Regions from separate parts of the Mus musculus genome. Here regions 1, 3 and 4 are each reported to be linked to region 2. Evidence: microRNA targets listed by miRTarBase, many of them from high-throughput screens and not tested one by one. Region 2 holds a microRNA gene; each other region holds the end of a gene's coding sequence.

Evidence for each region. Region 2 holds the annotated microRNA mmu-miR-25-3p (CAUUGCACUUGUCUCGGUCUGA, at 2,196-2,217, shown strand). A microRNA usually pairs through its seed, bases 2 to 8, with sites in the 3' UTR of a target mRNA and lowers its output. Matches are read on the target gene's strand: a 7mer-m8 pairs with bases 2 to 8, a 7mer-A1 pairs with bases 2 to 7 and ends in A, and an 8mer does both.
Region 1: miRTarBase lists Fbxw7 as a target of mmu-miR-25-3p. Seed matches in the 3' UTR shown: 7mer-m8 at 1,623-1,629 and 8mer at 2,926-2,933.
Region 3: miRTarBase lists Stk10 as a target of mmu-miR-25-3p. Seed matches in the 3' UTR shown: 7mer-A1 at 3,218-3,224 and 7mer-m8 at 2,007-2,013.
Region 4: miRTarBase lists Wwp2 as a target of mmu-miR-25-3p. Seed matches in the 3' UTR shown: 8mer at 2,261-2,268.

The regions. Positions count from the first base shown.
Region 1 is chr3:84,976,246-84,981,408 of GRCm38, forward strand. It overlaps Fbxw7 (F-box and WD-40 domain protein 7), which reads left to right. Exons shown (of 14, transcript NM_001177773.1): 13 at 1-139; 14 at 1,028-2,953. The coding sequence ends at 1,296. Among named protein-coding and RNA genes, the nearest start is that of Gm30944, 44 kb to the right of the region's middle.
Region 2 is chr5:138,162,386-138,167,548 of GRCm38, reverse strand. It overlaps Mir25 (microRNA 25), which reads left to right and starts at 2,145; the gene lies at 2,145-2,228. Cops6 (COP9 signalosome subunit 6) reads right to left here. Exons shown (of 10, transcript NM_012002.3): 6 at 4,767-4,814; 7 at 4,305-4,419; 8 at 4,130-4,222; 9 at 3,940-4,040; 10 at 3,565-3,813. The coding sequence ends at 3,673. Mcm7 (minichromosome maintenance complex component 7) reads left to right here. Exons shown (of 15, transcript NM_008568.3): 11 at 110-503; 12 at 783-866; 13 at 1,471-1,639; 14 at 2,388-2,497; 15 at 2,629-2,966. The coding sequence ends at 2,830. Mir93 (microRNA 93) reads left to right here and starts at 1,939; the gene lies at 1,939-2,026. It also overlaps Mir106b.
Region 3 is chr11:32,621,202-32,626,364 of GRCm38, reverse strand. It overlaps Stk10 (serine/threonine kinase 10), which reads right to left. Exons shown (of 19, transcript NM_009288.2): 19 at 1,770-3,941. The coding sequence ends at 3,804. Among named protein-coding and RNA genes, the nearest start is that of Fbxw11, 19 kb to the left of the region's middle.
Region 4 is chr8:107,556,313-107,561,475 of GRCm38, forward strand. Wwp2 (WW domain containing E3 ubiquitin protein ligase 2) reads left to right here. Exons shown (of 24, transcript NM_025830.4): 22 at 149-245; 23 at 400-472; 24 at 575-2,978. The coding sequence ends at 674. Among named protein-coding and RNA genes, the nearest start is that of Mir140, 7.6 kb to the left of the region's middle.

The sequences.
Region 1 (5,163 bases), not on the chromosome of region 2:
TGTATTCACACGCTAACAGGACACCAGTCATTAACGAGTGGAATGGAACTCAAAGACAATATTCTTGTCTCTGGGAATGCAGATTCTACAGTTAAGATCTGGGATATCAAAACAGGACAGTGTTTACAAACTTTGCAAGGTAAGTCCTGGCCCTCTGTTAGCCTATCTTTAAAAACATCATTGCTATTCAAGAGAGAACCTGTGGAGAACAGAGGTTTAACCTTATGCAGAGTACTTACTCCTGATGAGTTTGTGAATGTTTGGCTTTCAAAAGTAAGCCACCTTGAGAAATGGTTTTCAATTGTGTCTTTAATGTGAAAATTCTTAATCATTTCCTGTGTGTTCTGTTGACTCTGTTTAACATGGCTGTCTCATAGGGCAGCGTTCTTTTTGAGTGATCATTTTATTTTGAATTGAAGCATCTCTGATAGGAAATGACTTTGGCCTTGCTTGGTCAATTCCTTCAGTCGGAATGGAAGGAGTAATGGTGCTCTCTGAGGGGAAGGTAGAGTGAGAAGCATTAGCATTAGGTATAGCACCATTGGCTTCTCCATGAGTAACTTCCTTCTCTTAGTCACAGCCCTTAGAAGGTGTTGTTGTTGTTTGTTTGTTTGTTTGTTTGGAGTGAAGCCATCAGGAGGCAGCACATAGCAGCCTTTGTTCATTAATTGTGACTGTTCCTAGGAGTTTGGGGTAGTCACAAATTCTATTTCCTTCTTTGACTGATCAGTTCAGTGTGGCAGAGTGACAGAGTGACAAACCTGCACGTTCCCTTTTCCAGCAGTGGAATGTGTACACTGGCTGACCAGGGCCACTGGGAGCCGGAGCTCTTGAGACTTGGTACTGTAGTTACATAGCCACCAGATTTCCTTACATCTAAGCTGGTCCTAAACTACAGCAAGGTTGCTAACTGTGCAGCTTTTTAAATACTGCATTTCTTGTATGCCATAATGTAGAAGAGCACAAGTCCCACGCAGAAGCCCTGAACGTCCTTCCTAAGCAGTAACCCGCATTTGCCTTTGCCTAGGTCCCAGCAAGCATCAGAGCGCTGTGACCTGCTTACAGTTCAACAAGAACTTCGTAATTACCAGCTCAGACGACGGAACGGTCAAACTCTGGGACTTGAAAACGGGTGAATTTATCCGAAACCTCGTCACATTGGAGAGTGGGGGGAGCGGGGGAGTTGTGTGGCGGATCAGGGCCTCAAACACAAAGCTGGTGTGTGCAGTCGGGAGTCGGAATGGAACTGAGGAAACCAAGCTCCTGGTGCTGGACTTTGATGTGGACATGAAATGAAAAGCAGACATGATGAATTTTGTCCAACTGTGTAGACAATATACTCCCTACCCTTCCCCCTGCGCAAAAAACAAAAACAAACAAACAAAAAAATGAAAAAAAAAAACAGAAAAAAAAAAAGAGAAAAAAGAAAAGGAAAAAAATCCCTTGTACTCAGTGGTGCAGGATGTTGGCTTGGGACAACAGACTGAAAAGACCTACAGACTAAGAAGGCAAGAAGAGACAAGAGACCGTAACTGACAGGAGGCGGCAGCTGTCGCATCTCGCAAAGGCCTCACTTGTGACTGAGGGGCAGCTTGGCAAGACGACTCTCTAAATCCAACCAGGTGCAATTATTCTTTGTTTTCTTCTCCAGTGGTCATTGAGCAGAGCTACATCAGCGTTGTTACCGTCACCTAGAAAGGAGTGGCAGTAATATCCAAACACGGGCTGCTTATCTTCTAATCAGAGCATCTGCAACAAACCGTCATTTTTCTGAAGTGGAAAAGCTTAAAACAATTACTGTGAATTGTTTTTGTACAGTTATCATGAAGCTTTCTTTTTTCTCTTTTTCCTGTTTCTCTTCTTTTCTTTTTTCTTTTTTTTTTTTGCCAACCATTGCCAATGTCAATCAATCACAGTATTAGCCTCTGTTAATCTATCTCTTTACTGTTGCTTCTACTCTTCAATGCATATGTTGCTCAAAGGTGGCAAGTTGTCCTGGGTTGTGTGAGTCCTGAGATGGATATAATTCTTGATGCTGGTGCTAGAAGTAGGTCTTCAAATCCGGGGTCGTTGTCCCACCCCTGTACTGTACTCCCAGTGGCCAAACTTATTTATGCTGCTAAATGAAAGAAAGAAAAAGCAAATTATTTTTTTTTTATTTTTTTTCTGCTGTGACGTTTTAGTCCCAGACTGAATTCCAAATTTGCTCTAGTTTGGTTACAGAAAAAAAAGACTTTTTTGCCACTGAAACTTGAGCCATCTGTGCCTCTAAGAGGCTGAGAATGGAAAAGTTTCAGATAATAAAGAGTGAAGTTTGCCTGCAAATAAAGAATTGAGAGTGTGTGCAAAGCTTATTTTCTTTTATCTGGGCAAAAATTAAAACACATTCCTTGGGACAGAGCCTGAGGTGCCTGTTCTGTGGAGAAACTTCTTTTTGAGGGCTGTGGTGAATGGAAGAACATACATAGCAAAACTGACAAGATATTTTAAAGATATATAAAACACAAAGGAAAAGGAGGTTGCTGGTCAGTCGTAGCATCTTACAGTATTGGGGAAAACAACTGTTACAGTTTCATTGCTCTGAGTGACTGACGTGAGAGGAATTCGCTCTGCAGTGACGCTGTCTGTCACTCGCCTACCAGCTCGACGAGCAAGAGAGCGGGAGTCAGATGGTCCGCCTCATTCACCAGGAGCCGTAACTCAAGCTGAACTGTGAAAGTGGTTAACACTGTATCCTAGGCCGTCTTTTTTTTCCTCCTCCTGTTTATTTTTTGTTTGTTTTATTTATAGTCTGATTTAAAACAATCAGATTCAAGTTGGTTAATTTTAGTTATGTAACAACCTGACGTGATGGAGGAAACAACCTGTAAAGGGATTGTGTCTATGGTTTGATTCACTTAGAAATTTTATTTTCTTATAACTTAAGTGCAATAAAATGTGTTTTTTCATGTTATTGCGCCTGTTTCTTCCACTAGATAATACTGTTTCATTATAACTATATAGTATTTGTGTCAGATATTTTAAATAGTCAAGTTTTGGGTTTCTTACATCCCCTGCATTGTGACTTAGAAACCAGCACTTCCGAGCTCAGCCAAAGCTGAGGCACTGCAGATGGCACCCCGAGCTGTCAGGGAGGCCACTCTTCTGTTTGCATTGTGTGTATGAACATGAAAGCTCGTTTCTTCAGTCATAAAACTTGGAATTACAACTAGAAGCCTTGTAATAATGAGTTCACCTTCAAATCCCATATACCAAGTGTTCACCAAAGCACTCGCACCATTCTTCTCTCAGGCTGAGAGAAGTAGCCTCTGTCACCTTTGACTCAGATGGCCCTGAGAGCTTCAGCTCAGACAGCTTAGGTGGTGCCTTAGATGAAGTCGCGGGATGGCAGGATTGAACTCGTTCCCAAAGGCTGAGTGTACGCTGCCTCTGATGAAATGCTAGCAAACTAAAACAAGGTTTGAGGGGAAATGCCTTGTCTTGTTTTGTTTTTTATAGTATTTACTCTTCTGCTTTTATAGAGGCTAGAAAGGCATACATCTCTAATAATCTCAATAACCCAGGCTATAGGAAATAAATCTTAAATAAACATGGAGTCTTTCTCTGTAGAGAATGAGGTTCTCATAGCCACAGCATCTGTCCTCTTTATTCACAGAGCCACTGTCTTAGTTAGGGTTTCACTGCTGTGAAAAGACACCATGACCAAGGCAACTCTTATAAGGATAACGTTATAATGGGCTGGCTTGCAGGCTCAGAGAGGTTCAGTCCATTATCATCAAGGTGGGAGCATGGCAGCGACTAGACAGTCATGGTGCAGGAGGAGCTGAGAGTCTACATCTTCAACTAAGGTTGCTAGGAGAAGACTTGCTTCCAGGCAACTAAGACAAGGGCCTTAAAGCCCATGCCCACAGTGACACTTACTCCAACAAGGCCACACCTCCTAATGGTGCCACTTTGTGGGCCAAGCATGTACAAACTATCACAGCGACACTGCTCAAAGGCTAAGTCACACTCTATCTTAAAGTGGACCCTGAGCATAAAGAGGCACTGTCTTCCACACTGTTGAAGGAACTCCTTTTGGTTCATTGGACCTCAGCAAGCACACAGTAAGAAAGATGGGACATGCAACAGTGCAGACTGGAGTATTACATGACAGAGAGCAAGGCACAGGTGCAGACTCTGCGGGCTGTGGCAGCTCTGAGAATACCAGAGCCACTGCTGCTGTTCACAGTGGTGACATTGCTCAACAAAAATAATGGGCTGATACAGTTCTTGGAATTAATATTTTCAAAGGGTCACATATATGATGCTGCTGCACTGCGGTATAATTCAAGAAAACACCCACCTTTAAAACATGGCAGAAAATAAGAGCTAACTGGCTTTGCAGATAATCAGCATCCCATTTCTGGTAGTTACTAGATCTCTGATCATTCGACCTCATCTGTCCTCACATTCAGAGGTGGAACAGAGCATCTCCAAGGTTACCATGAGGGTTGGATGGAATGTTACAAACCTCCCACAGGGCTAGCAATATGGCATGGTACACAGGCTTGCTGCCCTTAGGTCTGTCCCCAGGATCCATGATGGAAGGAGAGGACCAACTCTCAAAAGTTATTCTTCGGTTTCCCCACATGCACCATGGCATGTGAATGCCACACCTGCCCCTGTCATGCACACACACAACTTCAGTTTTGAAAAGAACAGACCAGGTCATTGTAATGTTCTGTATTTGACAATTATTTTTATGGCTCATTCAGGTATATAATGAAAGTGGCATAGGTATATATGTTGAGTTTTTATTTATATGTGTGTATTTACTTTAAGTCAGGTCACATAGATTCTGCAGTTTTAGAAAAATATAATACAAACTAATATTGAGCACCTAACAGTGACACTGTGTCTACTCGGGTGTTAAACGTTCTAGGAATATATAAGGTTTGAGGATGTTGGTAGAGAGCTTGCCCAGCATGCATAAAGCCCTGGGTTCAATCCCTAGCACCGCATAAACCAGCCCTTGTGATTCCTGCTGTAACCCCAACGTTCAGAGAGTTGAGACAACAGTTACCCCTGGCAAGTTCTACTTCAGTTCGGGATACAAAAGACCATGTGTCAAAAAAAAAAAAAAAAAAAAAAAGTGGACCTGTTCCTGAAAGAGAATGTGTT
Region 2 (5,163 bases):
GAGTGTGAACAGGGATGAGGCTTGGTGTTTGGTTGATAAACACTAAGGCCTCTGGAAGGCCTGGGGAAAGCGGTTCCTTTCTTCAGCAGTTTGCTCTTTATCTTTGCAGGTCAGTACACAACAGGCCGTGGCTCCTCTGGTGTAGGGCTCACAGCAGCTGTGTTGAGAGACTCTGTGAGTGGAGAACTGACTTTAGAGGGCGGTGCCCTGGTGCTGGCTGACCAGGGCGTGTGCTGCATTGATGAGTTTGACAAGATGGCCGAGGCTGACCGCACAGCCATCCATGAGGTTATGGAGCAGCAGACCATCTCCATCGCCAAGGCGGGGATTCTCACCACGCTCAATGCCCGATGCTCCATCCTGGCTGCGGCCAATCCTGCCTACGGCCGATATAATCCCCGCCGCAGTCTGGAGCAGAACGTCCAGCTTCCGGCTGCTCTGCTTTCTCGATTCGACCTCCTCTGGCTGATTCAAGACCGGCCCGACAGAGACAATGACCTCCGGTGAATGAAGTAGATGACACCCATAGAGACAGCCCATTTTAGTGACTTTGGGGCAGGGAGGTAAAATCAGAAAGCCACTCAACTTGTCTGTGTGCAGACACCTTAAACACCTTTCCTTGTTTGCAGTTCATATGGAGATAGGTTGGAGCTAAGATCTTGAGGGTTTTCTGGGAGGCCTGTCTGCCATGCTTTGGAGAAGAGGTGGTGCTAAAAGGGGATACTGAGTCAAGATTCTCAGGGTGTTAGAGCTCTAAAGACTGACGCCCGTCTTCTCTCCAGGTTGGCCCAGCACATCACCTATGTCCACCAGCACAGCCGGCAGCCCCCTGCCCAATTTGAACCTTTGGACATGAAACTTATGAGGTAGGAGGGGTGGAGATGGGTATGTCTGGGGAGAGTACTGGTCTGTGGCATTGTCTTATGCCAAGTGTGTCTGGAAAGCATTGAGTCTTGAAAGGACTCATCTGCTTATCTATTTCAGCCTCAAAAGTAGCTGAGCCTGGGTCTCTCTGTAGCCAAGGGATCATCAGAAACTTTTTTTCTGTTTTGGGATGACAGAGCAGCAGGCCTTATATAATCCTAGCTACTCTGAAACCTGAGTCATTTTGGGGATGTCTCCAAAAACTACTTCCCTCCTGTATATAAAGGAACCTCTCTCACTCTCTAAATCCTGTCCGAGGCAGGTCTAGCTTTTTGGCCATAAGTGCTTCCATGGCACAGATGACTCGGGTTTCTAAACTGGTTTTCACATGGTCTCTGAAGTCTGTCAAGGGGTTAAGTTAAATCCTCCCACTACAGGTGCTTTGGTAAATGTCATTCTCCTGAAAAGTTGGAAGTTACTTGAAGTGTCCTGGCAGCCCTGTTTTGGAGAAATCCCTCACTGTCCACGTCAGCATAGAATATTAAGTGGGGAATCTCATAAAGCCTGCCTGCTTTCCCGCTTTCCCATGAACCTTGTTTCCCACAGACGGTACATAGCCATGTGCCACGAGAGACAGCCCACAGTGCCTGAATCTCTGGCTGACTACATCACCGCAGCATATGTGGAGATGAGGCGAGAGGCCCGGGCCAGTAAGGATGCCACCTATACTTCTGCCCGGACCCTGCTGGCCATTCTCCGACTTTCCACTGCTCTGGTGAGTGGTGGGTCCCTGTCAGCTGGAAAGCTGACCCCTGCCTGCCACCTCACCTAATGACCCTCAAGCCGCCTCCTTCCCTCCTACCAGCCCTGCTGGGACTAAAGTGCTGACAGTGCAGATAGTGGTCCTCTCTGTGCTACCGCACTGTGGGTACTTGCTGCTCCAGCAGGGCACGTGCAACGCCCATGGAGGGAAAGGCTGCTTGCTGCTTGAATCCATGAGGGCTAGGACTTGAATTCCTGGTGTCCTAGATATGATCTTAGAAATCTCCATTCTGTCCTCCCCTCTTGGACCTTAGTCATGGGGGCTCCAAAGTGCTGTTCGTGCAGGTAGTGTAATTACCTGACCTACTGCTGAGCTAGCACTTCCCGAGCCCCCAGGACACAACCTCTGATAGTGGCCCTAGCTGAGCGCCCCAGGCTCCATTTGTTTGATGGGGAGCCTAGTGGAGTTCAGAAGGGTCTGGTCTCCCTCACAGGACAGCTGAACACCCACCGGGACTGGCCAGTGTTGAGAGGCGGAGACTTGGGCAATTGCTGGACGCTGCCCTGGGCATTGCACTTGTCTCGGTCTGACAGTGCCGGCCCAACACTGCAGATGTGGGGGGGCAGGGAGGAGTCCCCATTTTTGTTCAATGAGTAGGCAAATGTGGCTTGCCCAGGCTTGAAGCTGGAGCAAAGAAAGATCCTTGACTTCATTCCCCTCCTCCCCTCCTATCCCAATCTTTTCTATGCCTTCCCCTTAGGCTCGACTTCGGATGGTAGACATTGTGGAGAAGGAAGATGTAAATGAAGCCATAAGGTTGATGGAGATGTCGAAGGACTCCCTTCTAGGTGAAAAGGGACAGACAGCTAGGTGAGGATTTTAATGAAGAGTGAGACTGGACCACTGGGCTTATTGACCTGGCTTGCCCTCAGGGTTTTGATGCTGATTGCTGCTACTGTTTGTGGCCTTGCACCTTCACCTTTTCCATCCTTGTCTTTTAGGACCCAGAGGCCAGCAGATGTGATATTTGCCACCATCCGTGAATTGGTGTCACGGGGGCGGAGTGTCCACTTTTCTGAGGCTGAACAGCGCTGCATATCTCGTGGCTTCACACCAGCCCAGTTCCAGGCAGCTCTGGATGAATATGAGGAGCTAAATGTCTGGCAGGTTAATACTTCTCGGACACGGATCACCTTTGTCTGATAGCCAGTTTTTACACCCTCCTGCCTACACCAGAGGGCATGCTGAATGCCCCCTCAAGAAAAAATCTCATTCTCCCATGCTGCACTTTTTTATTCTGCCAATAAAGTGTTTTGATTGCCTCTTGCTTGTTAATAACTCTGTAGAGTTTTTAGTATGCTCTCTCCTCCCCTAGTCTCTAGTACTGACCCTTACTATGTGCTAGTCAATCTGGGAGATAGAAGGCCTTGGGACCACTGTTTCTTGAGATGCTTCCAATTATGGACATTTCGTTTGTTAGACCCCCACATCTAGACGTGATGACACCAGGATGTGAAGGGCAGAAAGTTGCGCCTAGCACAAGGTATGACTTAAGTGGAAGGCCTAAGGATGAGGTACATATCACCCTCCTAGGTACCTTCAGGATATAGAAAAACAAGGACTTGAGATAACCACAATTACAAAGATGGAATTCAGCTTCCCTCCCCTTCCTATTTGAGAAACATTTGCAGTGAAATTAAATTAGCCTGGGAAAGCAATCTTTCTGTGGAGCTGTGACATGAATTGATCACAGAGCACAAAAACTGGAAGCAAGCAGGTCGTCCTATCACATTTTGTCTACTTCAACAAGGGGTCACCTCGAGTCATTAAAAGGTGGGTAGGTGGTCAAAAAATGTGGATTAATGGGTGAAGCTTCCTTAAGAGTCCATGTTGAGAAACCAGTGTGGTGCCTGAGAGGACAAAGCCACTGGAAGGGCTGCTAAGGGGCTGCTCTTTTATTAATGAGTTTCTCTAAAGGGAATGTGGTACTCAGGTCCATGGAACAGCTGTCTGAGCCCCACACACCATCCCTTCCAGAACCATCATCAGAAAAACAGTCCCCGCATTCGCCGGCCAATGCCTTGTCGGTCGTAGAGGACGTTGAACTTGTTCACAAACTGGTTCATTGTGTTGCACGTTTTGGTGATGGTGCCGAGGTAGGCCATGAGCCCCACGTCATTGCATTGCTGGGAGGGAACACAAAGAACCAGTTCCCCAGGGGTCCCTCGTATTAGCCAGTGACACTTGAGTTTCACCTCCTACCTGTGAGGTGGTGTGAGCCCCACCTCCCCATCAAAGGTGTCAACACTCACATCATAAAAGTCTGTCTTGAACTTGTCAGTGCTGAGAACTGGAAGACAGTGACATAGGGCATAGGCCTCCCGCAGGATCTCATGGTTGAAGGGAACCTCTCCTAAGGACACAAGGAGGCTGCACTGATGTGGATGCTGTCACTTTTCCAGGAGAGGAAAAATGTTTCAAAGTGACAGGCACCTCTCCTACCTGCTTCAGAGGCCTTGACATATTCTAAAATGAGCTTCACACGGCTGTGCAGCATCTTGATGGCACTATGCTGAGCTATCAGGTGTTCAGCCACTGCAGGGGAATGGGGCAAATGAAGGGCGGCCTGTGGCCACACCCAACCCCTACCTCCAAAGACTGAATTCCCCTCCCTTACCAGTGGAGTTCTCCCCACTGCCTGTTGCTGTCATCCGGGCCACGTGGTCTACACCGATCCGTTCAGCTTCCTCAGTGGCCAGAGTGTAAGTGAGCTCAGCAAACAGCATTGTGGCCTGCAGAGTAAAGAGTTCTCAGATAGGGAGAGTCAGGAAACAGACCTAGGCCTAGGCAGATGGCTCAGCAGGTAGAGTACTTGCTGCACAACTGAGGATCTCAATTTAGAGCCTCGGAACCCACATTAAGTGAGATGTGACAGCATGTGACTGTAATCCTGGAACCCCTACAGCAAGATGGGAAGTGGAGACACAATTCCCAGAAGCTCACAGGCCAACCTGCCTGGCAAACAAGTGAGTCTGTCCCAAGGTAGAAAGCTAGGATGGACACCCAGGGTTGTCCTATGCCTGCACACGGCATGCAGGAAACAGGCTAAAAGGTTTGAAGGTTGCAGGTTATATATTACCTCTCCATTGATTATATCGATGACAGACTCAAAAACGCTGACAGGAAGCTGTAAAAACACAGACGGAGACAAGAGAACAGCTCTTACTAAAAGCAAATGCACTTGAACTTACACACATGCCAGGCTGGCTTTGAACTCACAATCCTGCCTCAATCTCCTGAGTGCTAAGATTGGTTACAAGTGTTGTCACCACACTTGGCTCATGCTTTCTCTAGGTTTTACACACATTACATATGGAAACACCACTGAAGAGATGAAGTCACACAACTGATGGGTGTAAACAGCAGGGTAGAGATTCAACTCAAGCTTTCTCTAATACACATAATGTCGGTAAATTAGAGCAAAGGCATAGTGGCAGATGATCAAGAAAAAGGGGACATTGGGTCAACAACACTCA
Region 3 (5,163 bases), not on the chromosome of region 2:
CATCCTTGTTCGGCCCAACCTCTCTCTAGCCTTATGCTGATAAGCCATCTACTCTGGCCAGCCTTAGTGCATGTCATTCTGGAATAGACCTGTTTGCCCTCCGACACAGGGTGGCTCTCTTAGGGGGTGTTCTGAGTCCCCAGGCGGTGTCAGTCTGCACAGGTGCTGCTTTCCCACGTCTCTGTCTCCATTAGGGTGAGCATGCTGAAGACAGCATCCAGGAATCACTCATTCCAATGATGGTTGCTTTGAGAGGAGTCAATTAACATAGGATGATTTCATTTCCCAAGTCATCCTCATCTCCTAATGCCCTGGGGGTGGGAGGCTGCCAGTCTCCTGAATTCTTGGAAACTCACTTTTCTAGCTCTTAATGGCAATCATGCTGGCTGCCTGCTGATTTACATCCCCCAGACAGTAAGTACTCATCAGTGGAAGCTGCAGCCACACCAACAGCCTGAGTCCAGAGGCTGTGCAGCACCATGGCCATGGCCTGCCCTCTGCTGGTCACGAGACTTCCAGGGCAACAGCAGCAAGGTGCTAAGCAAAAGCAGACTGGTTTTGTTTTCTGTTCTGTGAAGTCCTTTGGTATTCCACAATGTCTATGAAGTCCTTCTCAAAGTAATATTTTTGAAACCTGTGACAATGAGGTTATTATGTTGATTACAAATGAAACTGACCATCAGGATAAATAGGTATCTTTAAAAAAAAATTTTTTTTAATTGTTTTTTTATTTTTGGTTTTTTCTTTTTTTCGTTTTTGTTTTTTGTTTTTCTGAGACAGGGCCTCTTTGTGTAGTCCTGGCTGTCTTAGAACTCACTCTGTAGACCAGGCTGGCCTTGAACTCAGAAATCTGCCTGCCTCTGCCTCCCAAGTGCTGGGATTAAAGGCATGTGCCACCACTGCCCGGCTACCAATGACTTCGGAAAACTGTAGCTACACAGTTAATAAGACATATGCATGGACACAACCAACTGGACCTAACAATGCAGGTTGAGTCACTATGATTTAAAAATGAGGAAAAAATGGTGTAGTGTGGAACGCCGTTGGTTTCCCTGGGTGACAGTTACAAGCCCCACTGATACCTCTGGGGTTGTTGCCACCTCCACTAAGAAGGAAAACACTCAATTTCAGGCAGGAAAACTAAAGACCACATCTTTTGACAAACAAATGCAGAGATACCCCCAATTCTACCCGTGGACCCCAGGGTAAGAACACAAGCAATGTTTTGAGAGGTACAGTCAGACAAATGTAAACTATATTTCTATTTGTCCCCCTAGAATCAGAGACAGAGCCCAGACCCATGTACAAGCTAGGGCATTCAACCACCATGTTAAGTCTGTCCTGGAAAATTCTTTTAAGATACAGCATTGATGGCAAGAAGTGGCAGCTGGAGAGAGGTGTGGTAGCACCATCAGGGGGACAAACTCCAGGGTTGAATTCCATGGGTGTCCCTCGGCCGTGTCCTGAGATTTGGGCTCTGCGCAAAATCTACTTTCTTATCAGAGTTATGGAAAAAATTCAGTCCATTAACATACAAAATCTGGGGGTGTTTGTTAACCAATGTTTGTCTTTGAATCGGAATGATATTAAATGGCCAGAGAGAATATGGTCTCTTTCCTCTCTCTTTGGGGTTCCATCAGAAACCCCAGAGTCTGACCTGCTGCCTGATGGAGGAGGCTCTCACATACTCAGAGGATAAGCCCTTCCTTGCTGAGCAAGCACAGGAGGCCCACCTATCTTCTCTTTCCAACCAGAAAGAACAACAGTGCTTGCAAATCACCTTATTACTTTATTAGAAGCATATTTACATTCTTTTTTTGTTTGCAGAGAACAGTTTACAAATATCCACGGTGCTTGGAAATGCATACACGTTATTTCCATCCTTCATGAAGGGAAATATAAGTTAGTTATATTTACTGCGCTAAAAACACTTCTGCCTGTTCCTATACAGAAAAGATTAGCACAGGGCATGAGGAATACTGCGTGGGCCCTTGGTGGTGGCAGGCATTGCACTTACGCTATAATTATGAGGCTGGAAGACTAGGCTAGACCCCACTCCAAAAGGCACAGCAGAGCTACCAGGGCTCAGGTGGTACTAAGTGCAGATTCAACAAAGGACTGGAACATTACGAATGATGTCAGGGAGCGGTCAAAGACTGTTATATGAACCACAAAACTAGCATTTTGCCTAATAGCCACTGTCAAGTCCCCTGAAAGCAAGTATCCCTGCCCGGCCTCCTGTGGCGTGGCCTGGCCCATCTGCCCTCTGAGTCAACTCCTTGATGTGAGGCCTGAAAGCAAGCGAAGGCTCACTCGCTCCCCTGAGAACTATGGCCTTCCTGGGGTTCTGTGAGCTTCTTTACTGCACACTAGATCTGGGAGTCCCAAGACCTGTTTTCCTATTTTTTTTCTAGCCCACTCCCTCCCAAGCACCCAGTTTTCATTTGAGGAAACTTTTTAGAAAGTTGCTTCAGCATCGGGCAGTGACAGAGAAATACTGCTAAGGTCTCAGCCACTCGCCAGACTCAACCGCCTGGGTCCCCCCTCCCCCACCCCACCCCATTGTCCCTGGGAAGGGGCTTTTTAAAAAGAGGGTGTCTGAGGCAGCCAGCCATTTGCCTGTACTGTAACTGAGCACTTAGGCTGCTTTTCTTCTATGGGGCTCAGCCTCTTGGGAGGCTACCTGAGCAGCCCGAAGGCCCAGTCATGGAGGCTCCACATTTCCCTGAGCGCAGCATGTTCCTGAGGGTGGGGAACAGTTCTTCCTGAACAGAGAAGTCCAAAGCTTAGTGGAAATGTACAGTGGGACTCCAGTACAGGACTAGGGCAGAAGTCAAAAGCCTTCCTGGGTACCTGCAGACAAGCGGGCAAGGGTGAGATTGGCACGTGCTAGGCAGCAGAAGTCAAGTGTGGAGGGGGGTGTACCCCTGAACACGGGATCCTGTGTGCAGCCAAATGAGTTGCAGGCTGGCAGTACAGCCTGTGCCTTCTCTGGGTTCTGGCGCCAGCACTCAGCATGGCCCCACCAGCTGCTCCACCTGACATGCTCAGTGGCCCTGGATCAGGCTCAGGAGGCAAGCAAGCAGGTTCCAATGCATTGGTCCTAGGAGGTCACAGCAGAGGCAGCCTGGGTGGTGTCAGGGGGGCCAAGTTATGTATTTGCAGTGTGTGTGTGTGTGTGTGTGTGTGTGTGTGTGTGTGTGTGTGTGTGTGTGTGTATTGCATGTCTCACAGGGAGAGGAAAATAAGATGGGATACAATGTCAGAATCAGCAGAACAGGCATCTCTGGCATCCTTCTCCACGCTCCCTACCCCGACATACACAAAGCAAAGTCAGCTATGTGAAACAAGGGAATGGGGACACCCGGGAGCTGGCTGCTGAGAACCCAAGTGGCTCTTAGGGATGTTTCCCGACACTGTGAGGAATTACTGAAGGCAAACAAACAAACAGACAAACAAACAAAAAACCCACAAGGATCACAATAAGGATGCGTTCGCGGTGATGTCATTAGTAGCGCTTGTGCCCACAGACAGTAGAGCTGGTGTTTGGGCAAACAGGAGGGGTTCACCCATCCTGCCTGGCCCCTGACCTCAACAGTCTAAATCACTCCTAGGTGATGGGAATCTGAGTCTTGAGGAGGTCACCGTGCACCAAGGTGGCACTGTGGACAACTGGGGCGCTGCAGGGGGATGGGTAATTGAGCTGGCACAGAAGCAAGAGGAAGAGGTCCTGAGTCACTTGTTCATAGAGGCTTGGGGGCCCCAGTAGCCACGCTGCCCACCGCAGCCCAGGCTTGTGGGTGTTAGGAAGCATCCCCAGAGCTGTAGGGGAAGAAGTTGCTGGCTTTGCTGGGTGTGGTGGGTCTGGGCTCTGCCTCCTCGCTTAATTTGAAGAACATTTCCTGTTCCCGCTTCTTCTGGTTCAAATCCTCTTCCAGGGCCTGGGGAAGCGAGAGCAGATGGTATTCAGCGGGATGCCAACGATTCCAATCAGAACAGCATGTCCTGCTCTGGACAGCTCCCTGAGGTAAGCACCCCTTCCACCTGCCACACGCCTTCCTGAACTGCTCATGGCCCAGGGCCAATCCTGGGGAACCGCCTGTTAAGGGGCGAGAGGTACAGGCAGGACTCCCGTGATGGGGAAAGAGCAGGATGGATAAAGAAGAGCCAGAGGGGAGGATCTAGCAGAAGAAAGAGATGGCCAAGTGACAGTGCTCACCCCCAGTCAGGACACCCACTGCCTGCGGGAGGGTGTGTGCCTGTCCCTCTGAGGGTCTGAGCTCCTCAGGTAATGGGAGGGGTGCTTTCCAGCTGGCAGCAGCACAGGAGCTTCCGTTGGGCACATGCTCATCTATCCAGATAAACACGATCCTATCAGGAAGACTTCCCAAGAGCACGGGATCAGGAGTGCCAGCTCACAAGGGAAGTTGAAGAGCCAGGAGAGCATGGGCCCTTAGACAAGATCAGGCACCATGTGGGAGGGGAAACTGGATTGGGATTTATGTAAAATTTTCACTTCAGGTTGGCAATTAGACAAACCAAGCCTGGTGAGTTGTGGTGGCAGAGGCGCATACCTTTGCTTGAGACTCGGAAATAGGTAGATTTGTGAGTTCAAGGCCAGCCTGGTCTACAGAGGGAGTCTCGGGGCAACCAGGGCTACACAGAGAAACCCTGTCTCAAAATAAAAAACAAAAAGAACCCCAAAACCCTGAAAATTACTATACTGGCTCAGTGATACAAATATAAACCAAACTGCCCAGGAGACCAGTGTGTGAGCCTCTGGGATCCAGTGTGTGAGCCCTTGGGATCCAGTGTGTGAGCCCCCAGGGGTCTAGTGTGTGAGCCCCCAGGAGACCAGTGTGTGAGCCCCTGGGATCTAGTGTGTGAGCTCCCTGGGATCTAGTGTGTGAACCCCTGGGATCCAGTGTGTGAGCCCCCAGGGATCTAGTATGTGAGCCCCTGGGATCTAGTGTATGAGCCCCAGGGGTCCAGTATGGGATCTGTGAACCCCCCCAGGAATCCAGTGTGTGACCCCCTGGGGTTCAGATGGAGGTGTTGCTCATAGTTCTGCTATTGTTTAGACACAGGGTGGTTTAGTAAGTCGCCCAATTTCAAAGCTAGGAATAGTTGAGCATATCCACTCCAAAAGTTCAAGATGTCCCA
Region 4 (5,163 bases), not on the chromosome of region 2:
ACCCTTATGAATGTTCTACAAATATCCTTAGAGAAAGCATCTTTGAAGGTCCCAGATTGGTGTCTGTGTGTGTCGAGTTGGCCTGGAAAGGTCCGTGCTAGGGTCTGAAGTCTGACTGGGGACGTCTGTCTGTCTTGTGGACCTCCAGGTTGTCAAGGAGATGGACAATGAGAAGAGGATCCGGCTACTGCAGTTTGTCACGGGAACCTGCCGTCTGCCTGTTGGGGGATTTGCTGAGCTCATCGGTGCGTTTCCTTCTGCCCTTCTGGGGCCCTCCCTGGGGGAGGGACAGCATGGGGCAAGTGCAGCTGGAGCTGGGAGGGAAAGAGCTGTGGCACTTGGTTACTTTGGGAAAGACCATCTGTGTTGACACAAAGTACACGTTGCCTTGAATGACAGGGAGCAATGGCCCGCAGAAGTTCTGCATCGACAGAGTTGGCAAGGAAACCTGGCTGCCCAGGAGCCATACGTGGTGAGTTTGCCGGGAGCTGGCAGGCTGGAGCTGTAGGCTGGTGGGGGCAGGGCACCAGAGCCCTGGCCTCCTCCCGGGGCTACTCCTCTCTCTCTGTCACAGCTTCAACCGTCTGGACCTGCCTCCCTATAAGAGCTACGAGCAGCTGAAAGAGAAGCTGCTGTACGCCATCGAGGAGACTGAGGGGTTCGGACAGGAGTAGCTGAGGCTGCTGTCTCACACCCTCTAGCACATGTAGTCCTGAGTCCTTCCTGCCGGAGATGCCACCGGTTGCACAGCCCTCAAGAGGCCCCTTTGGATAGTGGCCCTGCACGAGACTGTGCCTTGATCATTTCGGTGACTGAAGAGTCTGACCCCAGAGGCCTTGGGGACCCTTTCTTCTCTCTGATGATGGCAGTCTGGAATAAAGCACTGTCACCTTTGACTCTATTACCTGTTGCAAAGCCAGAGGGCTGCCCTTCTCTGCAAAACTGCCCCTTCCACTAGGACTGAGTCTGGGTGTGTGTGAGAGTGTGAGGGAACATGCCCTGCCTTAGAGGGCTGCCACTGAAGCTGGGCCTCATATGTTCCATGAGGAGCTAGGCCTCGTGGAATGGCTGGCTGACTAAACCCAGAAAGCCAAGGCTCTGCCAGTGGAAGAGACTTCACTTTTGTAGACCTTCCCTGAAGTCCATGGAACAGACCTAAGGGAACAACTGAGCATCAAAACCGGCTTTGCTTTACTTCCTGGCAGGCTGCAGCCAAGGGGACTGAGCAGCAGGCACCCAATGCCACCAGCTCGTCTCTTCCTAGCAAGCAAAGGGTTAAAGAAGCCACCACCTGGGTGTCAGTGGGAAGGAGACAGCAGAGCTCAGGCTTTGCCCTTTGACAGAAACCTAAAGACACATCCACATCCATGCATAGGGCTGTTGCTTGTTGTGTTGTAGGCATGCTCTTCTCACCTTCTGTCAAGGACCTGGTGCCCTGGGTGGTGGAGGGCTCAGCCCTCTTGATTCAGTAGCTTCCCAAGCAGCTGCTCCTCTCAGGAGCCTGCTTAACACTTGCGCCAGCTCAGAGGCCTGCCTCTATGGTCCAGTGCATCCCCGCTGTGCTCAGATGCTGACGAGACTCCTTTGCTAGACTCCCCTAGTTAGGGCCTCTGCAGCTTATGGTGGCTTAAAATGGAGAGAGCATCTTGCCTGGCCGAGTGTTTGTGCTATGTGAGCATGAGGCTTTATTTGACTGTGGAAGAAGACACTAAGAGCCAGCAGAAGGGCCTGAGCTGCCTCATTAGCCTGGCTTCATTTGGGGAGCTCCTGACAGTGTCCCGAGTAGGTGCCCAGCCCCTCTTGGGTACCAGAGTGGTTATAGCGACACACTCCTCATCCAGGCTTCCCAAGATACACTAGCTCTGGGACACCCCAGGCATGCTCTCAAACTAGTCATGGGGCCTTCTGAGGACAGTTCCATCCTACCTTTGTCCTTCCCTGGTACAGCCTGTGACCCTGGCACACTGCACATGCTGATCTGAGTGGCTCTGCTCACTGTCGCACACCCCTTCCTCTCCCATGCAGTCACCTCAGGACTCCCGACATACATCACAAAGGCTGCTTCATGGCTGGGTGTGGGACCAGATGCCAGCAAGGATGGAAGCATCAGGCTCACAGGTGTGTGTGTGTGTGTGCACGCGTTCGCACATGCGTGAGTGTGTAGCAGAAGTGTGTACAGAGAGGCCCGTGCTAGCTAGCACCAAGTTGGTTGACAGATTGTTTTGTGATGCTTGCCCTGCCTCGGTATTGCCAGTTTCTTGTGCAATAAAGAATCAGCAGCCATGGGTGGTGTCAGTGTAGCTGTTTATACACATTCTGTTGCAGGAAGAGTCTTCCATTCCCACAGGTCCTCTAGAATCTCCAGACCAAGAGAATCTCCACAACAATAGTGCTCCAGCCTTGCTGCCTTTGCGAGTTTGAGTACCAGTAACCAAGGTAGCCTGACTTCTGGAATAGATGGTAGTCCTTCTAGCTGAGGCGAGTGACCTCTGGTCACGGTGTCATACTCTCTCTACACCGGTTGTGCATTTTGGAACAGGAGAGCTGAGATTTGGGTAGGGCTGCCATCCATTCAGGAAATGGCTCAGGTTGCATGAGCCCATGACAAGGGGTTCCCTGATGCTGAATTCAGGGTCATACCTTTCTTACCACTCAATTGTTTTGACTGGTGAGGCTTCAAAGATGGAGCTGGGTATGGTAACACATGCTTACAATCCTAGCATTTAGAAAGCTGAGGTGGTTTTCTTTTAAACTAATTCAGTAAGTAAATTATCTTTGTGTGGCAGCCATGTTTAATCCACAGTTCAAGTATGTTAGTTTGAAAAGGGCACTTTGAAGCTATTCCCATGAATCAGTGGCAGTAGGAAAAGTTCTCTTTTTTTGTGTGTCTCATTTCAGTTTTTAGTTTAAAATTATTATTGTCCTTTTTTTGTTTATCTTGAAGCTTAATAAAATGGCACATAATTAGGACATTTTAAGCATTTTTGACATTTATATAAAAGAATTTCTGATAAGGTTAATATATCCAGGTGTTCACCAAAGAAACATGGATGTAATATACACGTAATTTTTTGTAACTGATCTGTTCTTGCTCATTTATAATCAGTAGAAGCAACTGTCTAGATACTGGGGCAGCCCTGATTTGAGTCTGTAACTTATAATTTAATTCAGTACCCTAGTTTCATATTATGCCATTAGGATTTTCTTGATAAGGAGTTATTCCCTTGTTTCTCTCTGAGCAGCGTCTGGACCCTGAGCTCCCTTTGCAGACTGAAGGCACTGCAGTCAGACCATGTACTGCTGATAAAGCCTCTGGTAGCAATAAAATGCTGTCCTTAAACAAACAAAAAAAGAAAGAAAGAAAGCTGAGGTGGGAGGACTGCTTCAAGTTTGAGGCTAGGCTACACAGAATGCCCCTGCCTCAGTAAATAAATACAAAAGACAGAAGGGAGTAGATAGGGCGCAGTAGTTAAGAGTGTTTATGTCTTGCAGAGGACCCTGGTTAAGTTCTCAGCATCCACATAGTGCTCGACATCTATTACTGAAGTTCCAAGGGATATATGGCCCTCTTTTGATCTCTACAGGCACCACACACACACACACACACGATGCACATACATACATGCAGACAAAACATACTTGTATCAAAAGAGTTTTTTAAAGCCAAACATGCATGAGCTAGACCACCATCGGATGCCTAGATATCAAATGACTCCCACGTTCTGTGTTGATTCCAGGAGACAGAGACTGGCTGCCTTGCAGTTTTACTGACCAGTTCACCTCTGTCAGTTCCAAAGCCTTCTCCCTTTCTCATTCCCCCACCCCCGTCTTATTTTGGGGCGTGAGGACTTAAAAACAGGTCTGTGTTCTAGCTAAGTACACAAAACCTAGCTCTTTGCCCTTCCAAAGGGTTCTTTTCCCACTTGCTGAGGAAACATTATATTTTGATAAAATTATGAGGAACTTTCACCTGATACACAAAAGTTTCATAGTAAAGTTTTTGTTGTTTTGTTTTCTTGAGATAGGATCACACTATATAGCCTGGCTGTCTGGGAACTCACTATGTAGACCAGGGTAGTGCCAAACTCCACAGCATTCTGCCTCTATGGTGCCAAGCTGTTGAGTGACTTCTTTCATTAATGAGATGTGGGTGGCACTTCTCATGTTGGTCACCATGGGTTTCATTCCTTCACTGTCACGTGTCATTCATACCGTGAATGTTCTGTAGCAGACCCATTGCATTCCTGAGGTGAGCTGCGCGCTGATGGTCCAGCCGCTTGCCAGTGTCTGCGTAGCTTTGTCCTATGACCTCAGGCGGGCCCCTAGGAGACACTCCTGGAAGCTAGATTGGTGTGCACAGGAGGGTTTCTTAGGTTTTGAGACAGTTCTTGCCGTGAGGCACAGCTTGGGGCTTGATCCTCTTGCTCTGTCCCAACCACTGGGATAGCAGACACACAAACACACACATACACCCATACCCAAGCACACTTTTGTTTTAAAAATGTAAAATGTTCAAATTCAGACACACAAATGGTCTGTGCCCAAAGGTCCCCAACACTCTTTGGTCCCTCAGCCATTTTGGTCCCAGTCAGTTGCTTTCAGTACTGGAGCTATTCAGACCTGTCACCACACCAGCAACTCCCCATTGTTAGGTCTCAGGCCCTCCAGATGACTTCTGGTGGAGAAATGAAAACCTCTGGGACTTGTGAAATGAGTGTTCCACCCTCAAAGGTTGTCCCTCGCCACAGCTACTCTTCGTACTTAGAACCCTCCCGACGTGTGCTCTCAGTATTTTCTAGTCTCTGCTCTCTGGTGTGCACTCTCTCTCCCTTCCCCTCTCCTCTCCACCTTCCCCACCACCCCACTACCACCACCCCCACCCCACCCCCGTGCCTTCTCTCCTGCTTCCTAACTCTGGCCATGTCCCATCTGCTTTCATTTCTTCCCAGATGCTTTCTAATCGTCTTTAATGGAGAGGTCACGTCAGCAGTTTCTTTACTGTGCCCCACACACACTCGTGACCTCGTCAGGCATGGGCTACAGTGTCTGGTTTCCCTTTCCTGTCTTCCGATTACCCTTACTTACGCTGTGTAGCAGCACGTTATAAATGCTTCCCGTTTCCCCAGTTTGAGCCTTGCTTAGTGCTTTGCACAGTCAGCCTCT